Linked DNA regions of Lonchura striata. The protein of the gene in region 2 interacts with the protein of the main gene of each other region in a pairwise test. Links are inferred from orthologs where the notes say so. Each region holds a gene or a part of one and is shown on either strand. Other genes may lie near its edges. The genes, in order: CEP43 and CEP19.

Region 1 (11,710 bases), on a different chromosome or scaffold from region 2:
TCCGCACTAAACTACAGGATCCCTCTTTAGAACCTGGCTAAGTTTACCCTATTCCAAATAGAGACCCTCTTCCATGTACCCTAAGGACTGTCCATTAAAACAGCTCCCTCAATCTGCGGCTCCCTGAAAAAGAGGATAACAATTCTTACTATCTCAAGAGGTCCTCAAACACACTTTTTAGGTGGCACCTCAAAAAATGTCAATCTAATTTGGAAATGTACTTTTAATAGGAAGACAACCAGCACCTGCATTAGCAAGGTTATCAGTCTGATTTTTCAGTATGCTTGTAAAGCCATCCACAGAATCTTACACAGCAGATATTGCATGAAAAGTGAAAGGATGAGACAGAGACCATTCAGAACTGAATGATTACCTGTAACCCGTAACTACCTCCCACTTGCAGACTCCAAAATGTATAATATTTAGCAAGTCCATAGACATTCTGGGTGTTGTTTTTTTGATTGGTTAGTTGGTTGGTTGGGTGTTTGTTCTTTTTTTTTTGTGGGTGTTTTTGGTTTGGTTTTTTTGGGGGTTTTTTGGGTTTTTTTGTAGTATTTGTCTTTGATTGTGCTAGAATAGATTTGTCCATGACTTAAACAAGAGATCTGATTTTCTTAAGACAAAACTTGAGACAATATTTTCCAACAGGAAAATACCTGTAAACTTGAAGCACATTCCTACACCTCAAAGCATGTAAGCACATCAGTGGCTAAGATGATTTCTTATAGTAAGTACAAAATCTGAATATGGCTTGCTCCTTGCACTGTCTCCTTTGTACAGCTACACAATTCGCCTTCAATCCTAATATGCCAACACCTTCCAAAGAGACATCATCAAAATATTTTTTCCTATCAAGCTTTATCCGTATTTTCTCTTGCTGGGGCAATATTTCATATGAATGAGCAATGGCTTCCCAACACTGATCTCCAAATGCTGTGGAATACTAGGTAAAAAAGTGGGAACTTGAGCTTCATAAACTGCTTTGTACCTGTAGCACAGGTGAGTATGACATTGTCTGCTAGCTAACAGAGCCTTGCTGTCTGCTTTGTGCATCTCTCAACATTTCTACAAACCCTTAAGAGTTCTGCAGCTTTTGCAGAGGAAGTCCTGGGCTTCTTTTTTCATCCAAGACTCATCAGAAACCATAATATAAATTTCAGCCTGTCAAACGCATATGCTACCACTCCTCTAAACCCACTTCAGCAAGCTGAACACAGTTTTTGAAGCCATACAGGCAGCGTTGTGTATTCCCTAAGAAACAAGGGGTAGGCAAGTTCAGTAAGTGACAATATGGGAGACACTTCAGAGATCTGCAATGGGCCAGCTGGAGGTGCAAAATCTCCTGTAAACTTGCACTCACAAGATGTGCATCAGAGGATGCTGTGGTTAAATGTGTGGTTTAGGGAAGTGAAATGATTAAAGTAATGAGTAAGATTTCTCAGATACCTGCCAGCTAAAGCACAGGAATGTGTAACCACCACCTGCACCAGCACTGTGGAACAGCCCCATGCATGCCCAAGCATAAACAATCTCTTGCATTTGTAAAATTTAGTGGCACATGGGCACCCTTTGGCACAACTTTCAGTATCTCCACTTCCTAACTCCAAAACAACTGTCATACACCTTGGTAGATAGAGAGCAGATGCACTGCTCTGGAAAGAGACATGGCTGAACACTGAGCTGTTTAACTGCTGGTGATCAACCCTAAACCTCTGTGTGCACCAGGATAAACACCTCTCCCAGTCTACATGCAAATCCAAGGCTGGTGTCTAACCATAACCAGGAACATCTCTACCAACATTACTCAGTAATACCCTTCCTGTAATCTCCATCTGCAAAATCTGTAAAGGTTCTCATCCTTGAGCCTGTGGTGGGTATGCTGAAACTTTGCAATCGTGGCTAAGTGACATAAAGGAGTGATTATGCACACATAATCTAGAAATAAACAAAGTCCTGGACTAGGAGTAGAACCAGTCATACTTAGACTCCTCCCTGAGACTATGATGAGGACCATATTGACATTTAAATGTTGAATTACAGTTAGTCTGAAATAATTAAAAATGGTTATATTTTACTTGACATATAAAACTAAAAAGAAATAGATATTAAGTTGACTTTCTAGTATGAACTGCTTCAAAACAAACAACACTTCACAACATGAAGAAAACAGGAGGCTACACTGCAGTTCACAGCACATTCATCATGACAGTTAATAATTCTAAGACATTTAAAAGCACTGTTCATTACCATACATGGATCGAAGATGCAAAAGCAAACAGGACAATTTTAACTGACCTGTGCACATGCTCATATTAAAAAATAGGACTTTTATTCCCTCAAACATCACATTACTTGCACTGAGTTTGTACCTCAGGCATCCAGGTTTTGAAGCAAATTAATAAGAAATTAGCAGTACCACTGGGCCAAAAGCTTTACTAGTGATGTCATATGACCTCAGTGATGATAGCTCCCCTCACATAACTGTAGCAACATCAAGTTCCAGAGAAGATGAAAAATTCAGGTAATATAAATTTAAATTATTCCAAAGCAAGAGATTAAAATATATAAACCAAAACAAAATAAGATAACAAAGAAACATACAAGAAGCATAATGGCTCCTCTTGCTCAGATGACGACGGCCTTCCTAGGAGACAGATCACATTCTCTTCAAGACAGAACACCCTTATTTATACACTATCACACAGAAACAGTGATAATTTTCACTAGCATACAAATATCTACAGTTATATTGTGTGTTTACAGAATTCATTAGAAAGCTGTTTCATTCATCAGACTAATTCCAATGATCAACAAACTACATATAATATACATCAGTACTATATACAAACATTTATGTGTGTGTATACACATATACACACATATTGCATTTTAGAGAATATAGGAACTTCTCAACTGCAAGCAGTAAATACATTCATACAACTTCCAGTTTTCAAAATATTACTTTATAATTACTTCAGTGCTCAAAGTTTAAGACAAATAAAAAATATAAATAAATTTTTAAATGTCATATAAGTAACATTTTTAGCTAAATAATTTACATCAACAACAATGCACCCAAGAAACTATCAAAATAAGAATAAACTATAAACTGCAAGCCATTATAAAAGCGTATCTTAGTAGAGAACCAAATTATGACAGTAAGTTTATTTCTAAAAATTACTCTCATTATGTTACAAAATGTGTGACACCCTGATACATTCCATGCACTGAAATAATTCCCTTTGAATTCTAATCCTTCCAGTGCTTCATACCAATGCAGTTATACATTGATCACATATTTTTCTCCTTAATGTAGCTACTTGAATAAATCATAAATACTTTATTGTAGCTTTCTAGCCTCATCCATCTTGAAAAATGGTCAGTTCTCATTCTAAAGTATGAAACAGGCATCAGTTTTAATAATATGTAAATGTTCAGTTGTACCACATAATAAAAAAAAAAATATTGACATGTAATAGATGAGCACTATTGAAAAAATCAAGTTTAACTAATTTTAATAAAAGGATGACTGCAACTTTTTTTAATGGATGGTGTAATCTAATTTCAAGTAAAAGATGACAGCTTAAAAAGCCTTGTTCAATCTAAATTCTTCCAGCAACAGGGTTTTGACAAGTTATAGTAGAACAAAATCTAAGTCATTAATACTGCCAAACAACACTCACCAAACTCACACGCCAATTAAGGTTTACAGCTAAGAAAAAAACTAGCATGAGTTCTTCCAGTCAAAAGCCTTAGCCGTAAGCACACCAGTTATTAAACAGTAGCACCTTGTATTAAGGAGAGACATCATCTGGCAAGGAGGCTGTGTTTTGTATTTTTCTAAGTCATTTGCTAATTTGCCGTAACGGCACTTTAGACAGTATTGGATACCACACACTCTAAGCATGATACAATACTGAACTACAATAAATTTACTCACATAAAACTCAATGGACTGGCAACCACAGTATGAAATTTCCCATACTACACAAAGGTGGGAATTAAGAAATTATGGTTCACGAGCTCCATGTGACCCAATTGCCTTGCCATGCTTTTTTAAATTACAATTTTACTATCACCATACTTGCATTATTTAATAGTAGATGAGTGTTTAACAGATGGTCCAAAAGGCCTATCTGACATCCATTAGAAAAGCTTCACTACTCTGCACACAGTTACTTGAGCTAGAATCTTCATTCTCTTACAGAACTTAAATAAGGAACATCTAATTTGAAAGGGATCAACAACGTTATTTTGATTATTATTTTGCTGAAATGTATGACTAGTTCAAAATACAGTAAACTTGAAAGTACATACACAAGGATGCTCTCACTTCCATAAATCACTTCAGTTGTTGAATTGTTCTTGAAATACCAGCAACGACCTCTGGAGACTTAAAACAGCACTGTGGAAAAACACCACCATCCCTTATCTGAAAGCTACACTTTATTTCTCCAACTTTGAAGGAAACTTGCTCTATGTTATACACAATAATTACTCCTAGAAGCTTTTAATTTGAACAAGAATCCATGGAACCAATTTTCCTACCCTTTCTGACACAAGCTCAGGCTGCACCAGACTCAGTAGTAGCGTGCACTCCATTATCTTCCGTATATTTTCTTAACATAGCATCCAGGGAACAAATGTTCCCTGTAAGCAGGCAGCATCCCCCGAGAGCTTCCAGACTTAGCAAGCCTTCAAGGCACAACTGAAGCAACCCACACTTAAGAAGAACAACTGCTTAAATAGCGACCCACAACAACTGCTGCTTGAAATTTTCAGTAAGGGCTTTCCGTAAGGCTTTCCGTAAGGGCAGCAGGGATTAACTTCACCCTCCCCGTCCCGCACCGCGCCGCAGCCACTGCTTCCAGCCAGTCCGGCGGCAGCGCGGGAGCCCCGGCGGCCCCGCGCCCCCCTCGCCCTGCCCGCCCGGGACATCCCCAATTCCCGTGACACGGTCAGGCCCGGGCCGGCGCACCGGCTCCACCACGAGCAACCGGGGAACGCCACGGGGAAAGCAGGCGCCACCTCCAGGCCGCGACGCCGAGGGAGCGCTCCAGCCGGGAACACCGGCCGCAAGCGGGACTGAGGGCGCGAGCACGGGAAGCCTGGGTCCTCCCACACTCCGCAGGGCCGCGAAGCGCCGCCAGAGCCAGCCAACGCGCCCCGCCGGCGGGAGGCCCTTTTTCGCCCACCTTAATCTTGTTGAGCACCCCGCTGCTCTCCAGCGTCTGCACTAGCAGGTCCCGCAGCTCCGTGTCCTCCTCCGTCGCCGCGGCCGCCATCTTGCTTCTCCCTGACAACGGCCCAAACCGCACTAGCGGCGGGACCGGCCCGGCAGATTCGCTGCCGCCGGAGACGCCAGCCGAGGGCGGACCCGGGGGAACGGAGCGGACCGGGACGGGGGCCGCCCTCAGCCCCGCCCCGAGAGGGGACGCAGAGAGGCTGCGGCCGCCCGGCGCTTTTGCCGCCCGCTGAGGCTGGAAACTGCGGCGGCGAACGGGCCGCGCGGGCGGCGGGCGGGAAGTTCAAAGCGGGGGCGGCGGTAACGGCCGAACCGCGCGGCCGCCCGCGCCCGCCAGCGGCCCCTCCGACGCGCCCCGAGTGCCTCCCCTTCTCCCGCCGCGCTCGAACCCAAGCAACTGTACGAGGAGCGGCTGAGCTCATTGGGTCTGTTCAGCCTGGAGGAGACTGAGGGGAGATCTCAACACAGTCTGCAACTTCCTCGCAAGGAGAAGCAGAAGGGCACGCATCCATCTCTTGGTGATCAGTGACGGGACCCGAAGGAATGGCATGAAGCTGAGTCGCGGGCGGTTTAGGTTAGATACTAGGAAAATGTTTTCCTCGAGAGAGTGGTTGGGCACTGGAGCAGGTCCCCCAGGGCTCCCCGGGGAAGTGGTCACACACCGAGCCGGTCAAAGTTCAAGAAGCGCTAGGACAGCTCCGACGCCGGGCAGCTGCAGCCGCTCTGTGCTCGGGCTGCAGGGTGAACAGCCCAGCCCCGTTCCGTGGCCACGCTCGCTCCAGCGGCTCCTGACGGCAGCCGTGGGCTCCGGGCAAGGGCTCACCCGCCTGCCCTGCTGCCCGCAAGGGCACCTGGCGCTCAACGGCGCCAAGGGGGGCTTCTGGAGCCCTCGTTTCGTAATAACCATGTTCGTTGTTGCTCCTTAAAACAAAAAGCTTTGTAAATTGTAATGCTTTCTCTGCACAACTACATGTGGCAATTTTTTTTCCATGCTGAAGTGCTTATAATTTTTATTGAAGAGAAGTCCAATATATGACAAATAATCGGGAAAGTAAGTAAGGAATGCTCCAAGGGAGCACGTACAGCTCCCGGGCGAAGCAGGGCTCTGCGGGAGGCTGGTTTTAAAACACGTTCACCGACTGTTCAGGGATGCTCTACAGACTTGGCCAAGCCTGTGAGGACAGGTGTCCACCACTCCACCCCATTTCTGCTGGACACATGGGAGGTACTGCTGGAGTCCTATGCCCATTCCCACAGCTGCCCAAACAATATAGTATTGTATTTTGAATTGAAGAGTCTTTCACTTCAGAATAAAATTGTGTTAAACCCACAACACTGTACTTAAGCACTTAACAATTCCTTCAATTTAATTTTTCAAAACCATGTCAGAAATAAATAGTAGAGAGAGAAAGATAATGTCTGGTGATACAGTTATTTTTATTTGTTCACTAGATCTCTAAACTTAATGGAAAGACAAAACCCACTTGATAAAATAATTCATGAAGAAAAGATAGAGCAGAGGAAGACAAATCAGTAGACTTAGAAGATAGTTTATAATTTGTAAGATTCATTTAGCATTTCATAAACTGTGCCTGCCAGCTTTCAAATACACGTAGAATATTTTGAATCCATTCTACAGATGTTTTTTGAGCTCTGCAAAACAGCAGACTACTATATAGCTAAATATCCATCACCTTGAGGGAAGCAAAGCACAGTCCAGTGTCCTTCTGCAATGCACTGCCCCAAACTGTTTCACATTTGAAGGAAATGTTTCAGTTTTGAATTTATGTAATTCTCAAGTCAACTCTGTGGAAATCATAGAAACACATAGCTACAGGCTATTAACACAATTTAAATAAAATTCAAGCTTTAAAATAATCCATGGACTAAGTCTATTGATTTAAAATTAGGACATGAGAATATACATATATTCCAAAATGTGTGTATCTGCTCAGAGTATTGTAAATGTTTATTTACCACACTTTTAGGAATAAAGTCTAGCTGGATTTGTTTTTTCTATTTGCGCAATGGGAATAATCAAAGCAAAACAACATTGTGTTATGGAGAAAAAAATCTGAAAGTCTCTGTCTTGATTCTTAAATCCTTATGTAAACTGCTGAAAGCTGGAAAAATGTATTCTTTGAAGTGTTTCAACTAATTTTGGGTTGGTTTTTTTTCAGGCTACATATTTCAGCATATAAACATAGAAATTGAGGGTACTACCACATTTGTTCAGAATTTTTTGAGGAGAACATAATTTTCATGAAATTCAAAGGAAACTTCTCAAATATTCTGACATTTCCTCATTTTTTTAAAAGCATCATGAGTGCTAATAGGCAGCCATCAGGAGATAAAAGACAAAAGAGAAACAAAAGATCATAGTAGACAGACAAATATGAAAGTCTTAAGGAGATAGTTATCCAGTGTAGCTGTCCATTGTCTATCTTTGCATATTTCACAAAAACATTTTTTTTAATAACATACACTATTTTATGATATTGTAACATAAAATTTTGGCTTCTTTGTCCATAGGACATATTAAAGCCTACACTATTTCTGAGTAGCTTTGGACTCACTTTGTAATCACCCTAATGGGAAACTTGTAAACAAGATTAGTTTGCACAAAGTGCAAAGTGGTAATTTGGCACAGTCAGAGAGCAAATCCCTGTTGCAACTCAAACAAGATTAGCAAATTAGCAAAAGTGTGTGCACTGCAGCCCAGTGTTTTCACCCCTAATCTACAAAGATAGATTCAGTCTAATAAAACAACTCGGTGTGCTTATGTTCTGATTTAATAGGCAGTGACAAAGACTTTAGTGCCACACGGAGCCCTGACAGTCCCAAGGGGGCCCTACCTGACATCAGGGACCTGGACTGGTGAGTTTTCTTTCCCAGTGAAAAGAGCTGGAGTTTGTGCTCAGAGCACCCTGGCCTTTATCAGGTGCCTGACTGCAAAAAATCCAAACATCGAAGGATGTGTCCCAGACCCCAGCTGACCCCACCTCAAACTTGTGCTGCTCTGACAGTCCCAATGGGGCCCTACCTGACATCAGGGACCTGGACTGGTGAGTTTTCTTTCCCAGGGAAAAGGGCTGGAGTTTGTGCTCAGGGCCACAGGATGGCTGACTGCAAAAAATCTTAACATCGGAGGATGTGTTCCAGACCCCAGCTGCATCCACATCAAACTTGTGCCCTGGTGTCCTCAGCAGCAGGAAGAGCCGCACTGCTTACCAGGATCTGGAGACTTTCACTATTTTTCATTCTTCGAGAAAATTTCTGAAGCTTTTGGTACCTCTTAGTCACCCATGCATCACTCATTCCATCCAACGTATTTTCTCCTTTCCACAGAAAGGTAGGTAAAGAGATTAGTTTTGCCTCATCCTCCTTCCTACCATGTAAATATGAAAACATAATTAATTTTTTTACCAGTTTATGGAACTGAGATGTTGAACAAAGACCTTATTACAAAGACTGTAATTAATCTGTTTAAAACAAATGTTATTTTGCTTGTGGAAGCAGATCTGCCCACATATTTCTTAAGTACATTATTGTAGGATGGTTGTAACATACCCTTTGTAGTTCAAAACTACATGATAGTAATTAAAAATCACACTTTGTATTTATGACCCATGCATCGGCAGAGAAAGAAGGGTTAGAATATGTTTCATAGTTTAACGTACCGCTGAGAAAATATTGAACCAAGTTCTGACTCATCCCTTGGGGCTCCTTCCTCAGGAACTTCCTACTGCTTCCAAACACGAGTTGTTACCACTTCAAACTTCTCTATCTGGAGAAGCACGCCACAGACGCCTGTGTCAGCTCCTGGGCTGGCATTAGTCAGTAGTGTCCGATTTAGAGTCCCCATCGCACTCTCGAAGACCTCTGTGCCGCGCAAAAGCTCAGTATGAAACTAACACCTTTACTATGCTAAACAAGAACCAACCAAAGCAGCAGGACGAGCCAACCACCCACACAAATCACTTGCTCCGCAGCGCACCGCTCCTTTCTTGCCCGCGCTCACAGTGCCCCGCTCCCGCGGTACCCGGCTGGCCGCGGGGAGGCTCCGGGGCGGCTCCGGGGACACCGCGGGGCCGCCGCCAGCGCGGGCGGGCCGCGGGGAGCGGCGGTGCCGCCCCGCGCTCCGGGGCGGGGCCGTGCGCAGAGCTGCGAGAGGGCGGTGCCGGGCAGGGCAGCGCCGGGGCAGCGCAGGAAGGTAACGCGGGCCCGGGGGTGCGCGGCGCGGTGAGGTCTGAACCCGAGGCAGCGGAGGTCGGAATTGAGAGTGTGTCCTTGCTCCGGCTTGCCTCGGCTGCCTCTTCCCGCCCCCTGCCCCCGCAGCCGTGGGGCTGCGCTCCCGCGGTGGCAGCCGGGCAGGAGGGAGCTGCGGCTCGGCCCGCCCGCGGTGTTTCTGAGTAGGCTTTTCTGTGGGAGAGTGGCTCTCTGCCCCTGGGATCCTCAGCTGCGCCAACTGCAAACGTGGGATTTGCAGGCCTAGGACTCAGATTGTGTTTGCTTTCACTTCCTATGCTTTAAATCCGTAAGTCAGCCAAACAAGTGGCATTTCCCAGAGGCGGGAAAACTCTTAATAGTTGTTTAGGGTTTTTTTTACACTTTACATCAGGTCTGGCATCCTCCTGTCGCCTGGAGGCCTCTCGCTTCCGGTGCTTAGGAGATTTGCATTCTTTACAGTTTGTGCAGACGCCTCTGTGGTGATGGTTTATCTGAGTAAAGCTTTCTGCTGTCGCGGTGACATCGGTGCCGGAGCAGAGCCGTGTGTTGGGTGCCGTGCTCGGCGGCACAAGTTACATGCTATCAGTTACAAGTTACAGTTGTTACAAGTTACAAGTTATCAGTTTTCTCTTCTGCTTCTCCAGGAAGCCGGCGGGGCTGAGCGCAGCCCCTGCTACCTCCAGCCTCACCCCGACACCGCTCAGCCGCCGCACTGAAGGCCGTGAGAGGGGCAGTGCTGAAATCCTGCCGTGGCGGTGGGCGTGAGTATTGCCTCTGAAAAGGCTTCGAAGAGCCTTCTGCAGTTACTCGGACCAGCACTTGGGCTTGGGATGCATGGTTAGCTGGGAGTGGACAGTGGAGGTGAAAGTTGCCGGAGCTAAGAACGTTGTTATAAATTAAATTAGTGCTTCTGCCTTACAGTGTTGTGACTTGGTTTGTCTAACTCGTTGTGGCAGATGCCACACATGGCATGCTGACTTGTTATGGATGCTACCAAAGCTCTGGGTATTCATTTTTGTGGCTTTAGATGCCAGGCTAACAGTCCTAAATCTTATCTCTGGACATTGTTGCCGGCATTTAGCATGCGTGCATGCTATGTCATAATCATGGGCATCTCCTGCTGATGCTTGAATGCTCTTCTGCAGCATCTTCTCTTCTGATTTTACACGCTGAACTAAACTGTAGAGCAGGAGATTTTATATTAAGGAGAGGTTTGCTAGTAAAGCTAATTGTTAAAAGCAAAACAGAAAGAAAATAAGCAAGTAAAATAAGAGGTGACCAATAGCTAGAGTCCAAAAGAAGCATGTGCTACATCAGCACTTTGCTCTAGATGGTATATTAGAATTCAAACTATAGTGAATGTGTTAAAGGAGGGTTTCTTCAGTGTTTATTAAGAGTTCTCTCTAGTGTTTGATAAGCCTGGGCAGATAATTTTGAAAACAGCATGGAACCATGCTAACATAACTGAAAGTGACCTTGCCCTGACTGGGTTACTAAAACACACACAGAAACACGTGTTTTGCATTCCTATCAAGAGTAATCCCAAAGCTGTTATTGCACTTTAGAATTTTATCCATAATGAAAATAATGTTGATCACCTAGTGTCAAGTAATAATTTTACGTATGTGTGCAGGTTTTATTTTGAAGTTTTCAGTTTTCAATGTTATGAATCTTTTGGAACTTTCTGAGTTTTTATGTAACTTTCATAATAAGAAATCACTGTTTCTTATTAGAGGAGAGTTGGTGTAAGATTTGTTAAATCTGTTCTTCTGTTAATTAAATTAGTAATCTAGTGTAATTTTTAGTAAACAGAAGCAATTTTTATTAAAAATGTATGTGATCTATGCATCTTAATTGTTAATACAGCTCATATGGATGCATGTATTTCCTCAAATGCACATCATTCAGATGCCTTTAAGGTGAGATTGATGCACTTTTCACTTGTCACCATCCATGTCACAGATAAATGAAAGGTCACCTTGAATAAAGAAGTCTGTTTCGATAGTGTTGTGGTAGCTGCAAGGTTGTCTTCTGAGCTAAATCCTTAGAGTTTATGTATTGTTTATCGGGGGGAAAAAAGTGAAAGTTACAGACTGGGGGCTTTTAAACTTGCTTTGTTGCTATATGTTCTGCTTCCAGGGTTCAGAACAATATATAGAATAAATCAGCACCTTCTGCTGCTCTGATAGCAGCATTTTTTGAAGCCCTGTTCTCTGTTCCTAGTCATCACTTGAA
Region 2 (12,003 bases):
AGGGCGTGGATAAAAAGGAGGGATTCTTAATTGTATGGAGCTGATGGGGATACTCAACATTCCCTGATCATGGTGCCTGGAAAGCCATGGCTCAGCTGGAGCTGTGATGTGAATGGGATTGTGCAGGCAGCAAGAGGAGATTCCGCTCTGAGGTGAACTTACAAAGCTGCTTTCACTGTCTTTGCAAGGCCATGGTGATCAGGGAAGGTCCTTGGTGACTGGAGAACCCAAGGGTCTCACCCAGCTTCAGAAACAGCCAAAAGGCCATCCCAGAGAGAATGGGGCAGTCACCTTTATTGGAGCAGTGTGACACCCCTGCACGGGGAATAACGAGCTCTGACTCCATGTTGCAGAAGGCTGAATAAATTGCTTTTATTAAGCTAAATTATATTACATTAATACTATACTAGAACTATATCATACTAAAAAGATACTAAAGAAAACCCGTGGCTGTCTCCAGGAATGGCACAGCTTTGACCCAACTGGCCAATCCATCCAAACAACCATCACCAGTGTCCAATTAACAAATCCCTCTTTGGTAAACAATCTCCATAACACATCCCACATGTGCCAAACAACAGGTGCAGTAAATAGAGATAAGAATTGTTTTCTTCTTTCTCTGAGCTTTTTCACTGCGTCTCACAGCTTTCCAGGAAAAATCCTGGGAGAGAGAATCATGTCTTTCTCTGTTCAGAGAATGTGAATACCACACACCTTCTTGTTGGGAAAACTGTGGAATGAATGTTCTTTGTTTGGAGCACAGTCCTAGAAAAAGAGGGTGGTTGGAAGAAGTCAGCATGGACTGCTGAGACCAGGTTATGCCTGCCCAACCTGCTTTCCTCTAAGATGAAATGGATGGATCTGTAGGCAAGGGGAGAGTGGTGGATTCCGTGTGCTCAGCAAGGCTTTGGACACAGAGTCCCACAGCGTTCTCCATGCAAATGCAGATGTCACAGTCTGGATTGGTGAGCAGCCAGGCAGGTCAGGATCAGTGGGAGTGAAGTGCAGAGGGCTGTGGGGCTGTGGCTGGTAGGATGTGCTCTACCAGGAGGCTGCTGAGGGACTGTTTTGGGATCTGTCTCATCTCATGTCTATATGCATGACCTAAAGCTGGCTGTGAAGTGCCTTCCTGCCAAGTTCCCTGAGGATCCCAAACTGGGAAGACCAGTATGGCTCCCTGCTGGAGGTCTGGGGTGGGCTGGGGGAGCAGGCCAGCACGAACCTCACAATCCAGGCACTCAGGCCTCATGTAGCCCTCAGTGGAGAGGAGGCCATGCCTGGGGCTGGGCACAGGCCATGCCCTGGTCAGGATGAAGCTGGGGGCAGGCTGGAAGTGGAGGAAATGTTCTCAGGGACCCTCTCCCTCCCAAGTGGGAGATCTTTCTGTGGTGTTATGTTGCAATTGTGGAGGCAAGGCCTGTGCCAGACCCCTGCATGCCCTTTCCGGTTCTGGGAGAGCTGAGTCAGCCTTTACATTTTTTTAGTTATGGCAAGTGAGGCCTCAGCTTTCATTTCTCTCCTGACTGAAGACCTCCTTGGCCAAGTGTGAGCTCCCTCATCCTCTCCAGTGACAGCAAAGCTTAACTGTGGCTTAACTGACACTTGCTTCATGACTTTCATAGCAGCCACTCATTTTAGCCTGTAGGAGGAGAGCTCTTCCAGCTGCTCCTCCAGCCACTCCTCTTAGTTATGTCAGGCAGAAGTTTGTTGAGGCCACTCCATTTGGGATGAAGGTCCATCTCACCCACAGCCCTCACAGCTGCCTGGGTTCAGAAAGCCAAAACCCAGGAAGCTTTTGGAGTAGTAAAATTTCCCAAAAAATCCTAATCTTAGTCCTCCAGTTCTTACCTGAGAGCAGGACTGATCTAGTAGAGACCAGGCAAGGTAGACAGCAGGATTAAAACCTTCCGTGGGATGAGTTTGTCTTACTTTAGAACCACCCCCAGCCTTTGATCTTCTACCACTCTGGTTTTTCAGATACTTTAGGCACATTCTCCCAGAACTGAGCACTTATGAGGAAGCATTACCCAGGAGTGTAAGGATCCAATCATCCCACTGAAGCAGTTTGAAATCACTGTGTTTTCAAAAGTACTTTCAAGACTAATTAATTTTCAAGATATTCCTTCTCTTACATGTAAGGATGTATTTTTGTGCAAGCTAAAACTGAAGATTTAAGCATTGCTAGAGAAATGTAAGAGTAATATTCTCAATGCAGAGTTGATTTATCCAGAATGACTGATACATATTTAACTTCCCAACAGGCAATAATAATCACCCTATTTGTACAGTACAGCTTTAACAGTGTCCTCAGGACATGAATATTTAATGCTTCATTTTCAGCCAAAGCTGACTGAAATGTAAAAAATTGAAAGATTAAATAATTTAAAATTATTTTATGTAGGAAAAGACTAAAGGCAGCCAACAATTTCAGTTATGCAGTTTCCATTTAATCAAGTCTGGCTTCTTAAACAGAGCTCACTTAAGCCTGGGATTGCTGTGGCACCTCAAGTTCTCCTGAGCCAACATATGATGGCATTGTTCTCTCTGCTGGGACACAGATTTGTCTCCGAACTGCCCATCTTCGTCTGGAATCAGATTTCTCCATCTGACTCCGTGTCCCAAGCACAGGACTCCAGCTGCTCATCCTGGGGGAACTCCACCTCAACATTGTAAACAAAGTCAGGGTCATCCTTCTTCTTCCTGTTCTTTTCAAAGAGCTCGTCCATGATGCTCTTCCTTTTGGCCAGTTCCTTGTCATCCAGTTTGTTCATATCCTCCTCTGGGTCAATGGTCTCTTCCTGCTGGAACTTTTCCAAGCTCTCAGCCAGGCTCTGTCCTTCCAAATGACCTCTCAGCAAGCTGTAGAGCTTCTGGAGCTGGCGCAGTGAGACCCCTTCCAGGTAGGCCTTGTGCCGAGGGTTGTTCTTCAGCTGCTCGGCAGCCCTGCTGCAGTCTGGGGAGAGCCAGCACAGGCCTGCAGCTCCAGCACACCTCTTCCCACTGACACATCCTCTCCCAAACCCTCTCCAGGGGTCTCTCCAAACCCTCCAGGCTCAGAGAGGCTGAGATGTAGCCTTGGGCTCCTCGGGGAGACAACATTACCCCAGCACAGCCCCTCCCTGCACGCTGCTAGGAGGGCACTCAGATGCTGCTACCAATGGGTTCCTGTGCGTGCAGCTGGAGGCAAACACGGAATGAATGCAGGCGGAATGAATGCCCCTCACCTGAGAACTTGGAGAAATTCCTGACGGGCATGATGCGCTGGCGAGTCTTGTCCTGGCTGTTGTCTCTGTAGATGAGGACGATGGATGGCGGCTGGAAGCTGACCCCGCATTTCTGAGCGCTGAAAGTCATCGCGGCTCCGCCCGAGCGCGCAGCAGCGCTCCCTGGGGAACGGGAAAGGAGAGCAGCTGCGACAGTCTCTCCGTGCTGCCTTTGTTGTCAGCACTTCAGCAAAATCACAGAACCCCAGAGTGCTTTGGGTCACAATGGGCCTTAAAGCCCAGGGAAATGAATTATGAAATTAAATTAGAGGGGATTTAAAAATTCAAATCTGTTGCAGATCCTGTTTCCCAGCTCAGTGGACAGCACTGAGTACAGGTGTTTTATTTTTACTTTTATTTTGAATAAAATAAATTGGTTAAAAACTAGTATTTGTATTGGTTTAAAACCAATAAAAATTGTTTTTAAATGACTGCAAAGATGTCAAACATGAAGGTGATTTCCAGACTGCAGTAAAGCAAAGTAACATATTTTACCCCCCAAAAAATCAATGGGTTTCTCCACATCAAGAAAAATCACATTAATGTTGAAAAGCTACTTTGAGGCAGAATTGGAAACACTTCCTCCTTTGTAAAAAAATCACACAGGAAAGACCTCAAACACGCAGTAGTGTCCTTAATAGTGACAATTGGATGGGCCAGGCTGGGAGGGACCACAGTGGTCACTGGAGCCACCTCCCTGCTCCAGCAGGGCCATCCCAGAGCCCATGGCACACATTGTGTCCGGACATCTCTGGGATATCTGCAGTGAGGGAGGCTCCACACCCTCTCTGGGTCTGTTCAGGGCTCCATCACTGCCCTGGAAAGTTCTTCCTCACGTCCAGGTGGAACTTGCTGGGCTCAGTCCCTGCCCGTGGCTCTGGTGCCATTGCTGGGGCCCCGGAGCAGAGCTTGGGCCCTGCTCTGGCCCTGCCTGCACCCAGGGACAGGCAGGGACACACTGGGACAGGCAGAGACAGACAGGGACACACAGGGACACACAGGGACAGGCAGGGATAGACAGGGACAGGCAGGGATACACAAGGACACACAGGGACAGGCAGGGACAGGCAGGGATAGACAAGGACACACAGGGACAGACAGGGACAGACAGGGACACACAGGGACAGGCAGGGACACACAGGGACAAACAGGGACAGGCAGGGACACACAGGGACAGGCAGGGATAGACAGGGACAGGCAGGGACACACAGGGACAGGCAGGGCTGAGGCCCCTCTCAGCTGGGGCTCCTCTCCAGGCTGAGCAGCCCCAGCTCCCTCAGCCTTTCCTGGGCACAGAGATGCTCCAGGCCCTTCCTCCGCAGCCTGTGCTGGCCCCGCTCCAGGATGTCTCTGTCTCCCTTAAACTCCCGCCATGTCCCCTCACCTGAGGCGGCGCACAAAGCCACTCCTTCCTCTCCGCCTTCCCCTTCCTCCCGCCGCTGTCCCGGGCCGGGCCCGCCTCTCCGCGCGGTTGCCATGGCTCCGCCGCCGCGCCCAGCCCCAGCGAGAAAGGCCCCCTCCGCCGAAGGCCCCATTCGGGCTGCCCGCAGGAAAGCCTGCGGGACACGGCGCCGCGGAGCGAGGGGTGGGCGGGCCCCGCGCGGTCAGGCGGCGCGGGGGCAGCCCGCGCGGCCGTGCGGAGCGCCGCCATGGCGGGCGGGCGGCGGGGCCCGGTGCGGGTCGGGGCCGCGCTGGGCGCGCTGCTCTGCGCCCTCCGTGAGCACCCGCGGGGACCGCGGGGCTCTGCAGACAGGCTGGGAGAGCTGGGGGGGCTCACCTGGAGGAGGGAGGGATTCAGGGAGAGCTCAGAACCCCTCCCAGTGCTTAAAGGGGCGCCAGGAGAGCTGGACAGGGACTGGGGACAAGGGGTGGAGGGACAGGCAAGGGGGAATGGCTGCACACTGCCAGAGGGCAGGGATGGATGGGATATTGGGATGGAATTCTTCCCTGTGAGGGTGGGGAGGCTCTGGCACAGGTTGCCCAGAGAGGCTGTGGCTGGAAGTGTTCAAGGACAGACCTGGAGTGCCCTGGTCCCGGGGAGGTTCCTGCTCGAAGCCGAGGGTTGGAACAGGATGGGCTTTAAGGTGTCTTCCAACCCAAACCAAGAAATCTGTTCTGCTTTGATCACAGTCAATTACTTCTTCCCTTCTTCAGGGAAGGGGTTTGCAGATGAGGCGTTTGTGAGTTATAAAGTTTTTGCAGCCCCTGTGGTCGCTGTGCTGTTACACTGTTGGCTCTGTGTCACCTTAGATGTGCAGGCAGCCTGTCGGGACACCACTGTCACACAGGAGCTCCTGAAAGAGGGGTTTCACAGGTGAGTCCTCACCCTGCCCTCCATCAGCATAACGTGCCACGGGATTTTCTGCTGGAAGAGCCTCTCTTCTTTTCTTGTGCAGCCCTATCAGCTCTCTGGGCTGTGATTCCTGGGAATGCATTAACAGGATCAAGGGATTAACGAGCTGCAGTGGAGGGAAAATAGGAGGCCCCTTTCTAAAACTTTTTTGGAGGCCATTGGTGGTTCTGAGACATTAACAAAGAAGTGAAACTTCATTTTGGCCGTGGATGTGGGGTTGAGGTTAAGAAGGCTGGACAGGGAAGTGTGGTCAGAATTAGTTGCACTCGGTGTGAGAGCTCATCTCTTCTGAGAAATGTCTCTCGGGGGTCTTGTGCCACACTTTTGAAGTGTGGGTGTAAGTTTTTTGCTCCTGTTGCTGTTTGAAGGGACCTGCTGGTGAAGGTGGAGCTGGGGGAGGATGCAGGAGGATGTGCAGTGGCAGCTCAGATGCGTCTGCCGCCGGGAATCTACGTGGATCCCTACGAGCTGGCAACGCTGCAGCAGCACAATCTGACAAAGGTAATGCCCCAGCACCACGAGCTCTGGCACTGAGTCAGGTGAGGACTCGGGGCCTTGTATTGTCTGGTCATTTTCTGGCTTGTTGAAGCAAGGTGATTAATTCCTGGAAGGAGGTGCCAAACCATATAATCTTCTGGTGTCTCTTTGTAACTCAGCTCGCTTGGCATCCCCTGGTGCTGCTGATATTCTCACACACAGGTGATGAGCCAGGGAGCTGCTGCTCCTCTCTTAGCCTCAGGTGATCAGCTGTGGTAAGAGGGCCTCGGGTTCAGAAGGTGGAAGGGAAACCCCCAAGGAGGTGCTGGTGAGCTCTAAGTCACGTGCTGTGTGTTTGGACTGAGCAGCTTCCCAGTTTAGTTTCCATCCCAGCTTTCTGTTCTGCTGTCCAGTCTTTGCTTCACATTAGAGAGATGTACAAAGGCTGTGGCTTTAATCTGCTTACATTGGTCTAAAACATTGGTGCAAAGGTTGTGGGCAGCTCCTGCCCTTGGCATGCCTGGGGTGCAGGACTGGCCTTGCTGACGCCATCGTTGAGCTGACACCTCACAGGTCTGGCTGTAGGCACAGTGACACTAAGAACTTTCCACACATAGGACAGTCTTGAAAAGGTATTTTGGAATAGCTTAAGGCTGGAATTCCCAACTTGATCATCCTGACCACAAAATGCATCTCAGTGTTAGCATGAGGGAGGGCAATGGTTTTTGATTTCCATCAAACCGCTCCTGTATCTCTCCCTGCTTGCAGGCAATGTTATTTCCTGATGTCATTGACGTGGAGGCTCCCGAGTACTTGGCCGAGGCTCTTGTCCTGCTGCTGTTCCTGGAGCCGGACGCGCGCTGCTCCCGCTGCTTCGGCGCCGCCGTGCCCGTGCACGCGCGCTACCACCGGCCCGCCCGCGGGACACGCCAGGCCGTGGTGGCTCTGCAGAGCCCAGAGGTGCTGCTCTGCTGCTGCCACAGTGAGATTCTCATTGATGCTCTTGGGCCAGCCCGAATCTGGTTGTGTTTGAGATGGAGCTCTTGGTAGTTGCGGGAACGTAAGCGGGAGGCGTGGCCCTGATAAAGACCTCGTTGTCTTCCTCGCTGAGGGCTGGCCAAAGGCAGGGGGGTGTCAGAGACTGCTCTGTGTCAGAGTCTGCTCTGTGTCAGAGTCTGCTCTGTGTCACAGACTGCTCTGTGCTGTGCTGCTGCCATTGCACCCCTGTGCTGCTTGGGCTCTTCCAGCTGGAAGACGTGGCAGTTGTCATGATCCGTGTTTGTCACCATCCCAGCAGGGCCTGGTTTGCCAAAGGGCTCCTGCTCTGATCATTTTTCCCTTGGCAGCTGGTGATGTGCAGGGTGTGTTCAGTAGCCACTGTCACCTATTTAGAGTAATCAAAGTATTCAGATGGCTTCTAACACTATTGCTGCATTCTCTTTATATAAAGGGGAAATGTAGGAAACTGTGCCTGAAGCTTGGAATGGTTGGAGTCTCAAACTCTGGTGAAACAAGCACCTGATATCCACTACAATTAATATTTCAAGTTATGTGAACAATGAAACCCTATAATTTTGTTACAAATTTTGTGTCCCTTCACAAAATCATTCCTGCCAAGTCAAGCACACTAATGATTTTCAAGTCCTTTTTCTTTACTTGAGCAATGGTTTTCTGGGATAAGCATAGGGACAGGCAGGACTACCTGGTCACTTAGAAAAGGGGTGTTAAATCTTCCTGGCACATTTACTAGTTATGAGCAGGAAAACATTTATTATTAATGATTAATGGGGAAGGTTTTAAAGTATTGGAAGGGAGATCTTTTGTGTGCTGACAGGAGGCCAAGAAGACAAATGGCCTTACTTATTTTGGGGACTTAGTTATTTTGGTGAAAAATTCTAACTACATGGCTAAAGTTGAGGGGTCTGCAGGCTAACCAGGAATTCTTTGCTCTGATAAGGACAGAATGGGCAAGATACCACACAGGTGAGATTCTTTCTTGGGTACCTGCTGTATCAGGAAGGGAAGAGTTGTAAAATCCACAGCAAAGACTGCCCAGTGCCACTTTGGCCATGCAGAGGTGTTTCACCACTTGGCTCCCAGGGAATAGATTCTGTTGAGCTGTTGTAGAGGAAAAGATCCCTTATTTGGAAAAAGCTTGCAGGCTGATTGCTTATCCTGCCTGGCTCCTGGTGATGCAGGAATGCCTTCCCTAGGGCACCTGTCTGCAGAGTGCTGGGAACCTGCTGAAGTGGACACTCCCTGCTCATCTGACACCAACAGTCCCTGTCAGTGGCACACCACAAAACACAGACCCGTGAGTTCTCCCTCTGGTTCTATTTAACAACTGCTGCCTTTTTTCTGTGATTAACACCTTTCAAGATTAATTTTTAGAATTATTTCCTAACAGGAATTAATCATTAAGAGACTAGCTGGGTGGTTCCTTCTTTGTCAGCTCCTTTTTTCCTTTCTGACTGGCTTTTAGTGGGGGTCATCCTGCCCTTCTGTTGTGTTTACAGGGGTTGTGCTCTTCTGGCCCTTTAACATGGCTGCTCTCCTGATCTTTTTTTTTTTTTTTCCTTTACTAGTTTACTTGGAATCCTAGGATATAATTGGCCCTGGCCAAATTAAGAAAAGTCTCTACAACATTGGTGCTTCAGAGGAGTAGCAAGGTGGAAGATAATCTAGCTAAAGTAATGGTAAAACTGCAAAGATTTAAGTAGTAGCATCCAAAATAAAGCCACTCCTCTTTGCTTGGTAGTTACTTGGTTGAGTGTTTAGGAAAAGGTGAAGTTTCTTTTTGTGTTCAAAACCAAGGAAAGTTGGATCTTTAGTGTGGCCAACAACTGTGGTTGATGTTCCAAAGTGCCATGGTAGTGTAGAGATTCAGAAATTAGACTAATTTATATAATAAAATAGTCTGTTATTGTTGTAACACATGTGCCTTCCTATATTTAAGATACCTGCAGACCACTGGTACCTCTGTAGCTGTTGTCCATAAACATTTTGCAGCTTCCTGCATCAATGAAAAAACCAAATGGTTGTTCACTCTGGAGAAATCTGTCTCCTTCGTGATCTGAGCTCACCTTGGGAGCTGCTCTCCCTGCAGCATTCCAGACATTCCCTCAGTGGCTGGAGTAGGAGCAGAGATCCAGGGATACAGATGGCAGCAGATCCATTTCCTGAGCTGTGCAGTGCAGCAGTGGCTGTGAATTAAAAGATTTCCCATCCTTCTTCTGATACCGAATCTCAGAAGAAGCTTTAGCCAAGGGCTAATTAAATCAGGGTCTGGTTCCTCATCCTCTCGTTTGCAGTCAAAAAGAAACAGCTCAAATGAGTGATATATATTTATTTTTTCTTTGTAGGCATATGAGGAATCGATGCTGAGGGTTCCTGTGGGGCTCAGGGAGCACAGTTCCCTGGTGTGTGCCCTGACCCTGCTCACCACAGGGCTCTGCTCTGGCCTCATCCTGGCTGCTGCCTGCAAGTATGGACACTTCTCACAGTGACTGAGGAAATGTGGAATGTCTGCCCTCCACCCAGCACAACCAGCTGCAGATTGCACTGGGCTCCTGAATGGATCCCACCCTGCTGCTGTTTATATCTTAGGGGGTGCAAGGCTCCCATAAGCATTATAGTTCCTTTGGCTCATAGTGTTTACAAATGGCTTCCACAGCCCAGAAGACATTTTGGATGTGTTGTCAATATCCAAAGCAGATGGAGAGTAGGAAAAAGCCTCAAAAAGCTGAAAGCACTGCTGTGGGCAATGAGGCAACAATCATTGGTGGGTTTGGGGCTCCTATTCCCTCCTCCTGGCCCAGAGCTTGCTTTCAGTACCTCTTGCAGCGGTGTTTGTATTTCTTGTCTCAGGGATTGGTTATTAAGGGTATGAAAAACATTACTGAATCATTAAAATTTCTGGATTTTAAGCTTGTTGTGCAGATGGGTTATGTATGAATTTGTGAAGAGACATTCTGTGCCTACCTGGGACACGTTGATAATCTCTCCCATGCTAATGACTCTGAGGAATTGGCTGCTCTTGGCCTAATTAGAACCACAGAGTTATTAAGGTTGGAAAAGCCCTGTAAGATCCCCCAGTGCTGCCAAAGCCACTCTCAACCCATGTCCCCAAGTGCCACATCCACAGGTCTGTGAAATCCCTGCAGGGATGGGGACTCGCCACTGCCCTGGGCTGCTGTGCCAGGGCTGGACAGCCCTTCCCAAGAGGAGCCTTTCCCAATATCCAACCTGAACCTTTCCTCTTGTCCTGTCCCTTGTTCCCTGGGAGCAGAGCCCGACCCCCACCTGGCTCCATGTCCTGTCAGGAGTTTAGAGAGTGAAGGTTCCCCTGAACCTCCTTTTCTCAGGATGAACAATTGGTCAGAATTGAAAGAGTTTAGAAAATTTGAAAAAATTTCATGAGTGGAAAGAAACCCTTGGAAGATGAAAGTGAGGGACAGGATAGTGACTAGAAGCAAATATTTAGAAGATGGACATTTAATCTCCAGGACAGCTGATAAATAGAAGGAAATGGAGAGGAAATTACCTCATGGAAAAGCCGAGAGGCTCTGGAGCAGCAGAGCTCGGGTGCTGTCTGCAGTTGTCAGTAGGTGGCACTGGGAGCCCACGGGAACCCCCGCGTGGAGAAAATGCATTTTATCCCTGATAAACCTCGAGTAAATTACTCAGAGCAGCTAATCTGGGTGAGTGTGTGTGTGCGAGGGGTGAACGAAAATTCCTTTCAAGGGCTCGGTGTGCAGCCTTTCATCCATGTCCCTTGGGCATCTTTCTCCTGCTGGAATTCAACAGAGTGAATTCTTTGTGACTGCTTCCGTGGCAGGTTGGGATATATATAGTAAATATATAAATACAAATTATATATATATACATATATATTCTTTTTTTGGGCTGTTCAGCCCTGCTAGCACTGGGACCAGCACTGTGGCACTTGTCTCCAAGTGGGATATTTAATTTCCAGGGCTAAGTTTGTTTCTGTGCTCTGTAGGTAACTCTGTTGGAGCCTGACCCTTGGAATGGCAACATCCCAGATTGCCAGAGCTGAGGGACAGGACTTCACTGCCTGTTTTTTTAACACCAGTTGAAAATCACAGGTTGAATCCCTCAGCTACATCAACATCCCTGACAAAACCTAGGGAAAGAGAATGGGAGTGTACTCGGGGCAAACAAAAAATATTGCAGGTGGAAAAATATGGAAATAAAGTATATATCAAGATTGCTGTCAATCACCTTTCCAACTGAACCTAAGTAATTGATTCTGATTAATGTAAAATATGAGAAGAATGGCAGAGCTTCACAAGGGGTGGTTTTTGTTGTGGCAAATATTTGTTTTTAAATCCACAGCACCTGTATTGTAAATACAGCAGACACATTTTTCCTTACAAACTGTAAATAAGTCTGATAACCATAGCAGTGTTAATTACAAAGGAAATTGCCAGTGAATCTCTCTCTCAGAGCAGAAACTGCTGTCACTAAGGCAGCACAGAATTTAGCAGGTGTGCCATGCAGGAGGATTCAAGTGCCAGCCCCAGAGGGATCTCAGAAATCAGAGGAGGAGCTGTAAATCCTGTGCAAGAATTCTGGCAGTTTTGGAGACAGGAACGAGGTGTTGAGGAGTTCTTGGCAAGAAAACACTGCCAAAAGGCTTGGACACAAACATCCCCATCCTTAATATGTGTAAGGGCTGAATCAGAGCAAGGATAGAAAAGGGGATGGGGCATTAAAGGCCGTGTTGGGAATTAAGGCTTTCTGAATCACAAAGAAATGGGTATAACAAAACAAAACAAAGCGAACAAAAAACCAAAAAAAAAAAACCCAAAAGCAAAAACAAAGAAAACAAACAAACAAAAAATCCCCCCCAAAAAACAGCAACAAAAAAAAAAAATGCTCCTTAAA

What was found.
Region 1: the proteins of CEP19 (region 2) and CEP43 interact in binary tests that used the Homo sapiens proteins (3 or more experiments, as listed by UniProt). The two-hybrid records come from large-scale screens. The link is inferred for Lonchura striata from reciprocal best matches to the Homo sapiens genes CEP19 and CEP43.

Annotation. Positions count from the first base shown.
Region 1 is NC_134605.1:39,037,904-39,049,613, reverse strand, and holds the start of CEP43 (centrosomal protein 43), read right to left. Parts: upstream 5,454-11,710; 5' UTR 5,286-5,453; coding exon 5,196-5,285; intron 1-5,195. UniProt on the Homo sapiens protein: Required for anchoring microtubules to the centrosomes. Required for ciliation.
Region 2 is NC_134612.1:5,289,465-5,301,467, forward strand, and holds CEP19 (centrosomal protein of 19 kDa), read right to left. Parts: upstream 4,752-12,003; 5' UTR 4,742-4,751; coding exon 4,648-4,741; intron 3,387-4,647; coding exon 3,225-3,386; intron 2,954-3,224; coding exon 2,592-2,953; 3' UTR 348-2,591; downstream 1-347. Other genes in the region: PIGX (GPI alpha-1,4-mannosyltransferase I, stabilizing subunit), read left to right, coding at 4,913-4,979, 5,514-5,577, 5,985-6,117, 6,862-7,075, 8,307-8,407, 9,456-9,599. UniProt on the Homo sapiens protein: Required for ciliation. Recruits the RABL2B GTPase to the ciliary base to initiate ciliation.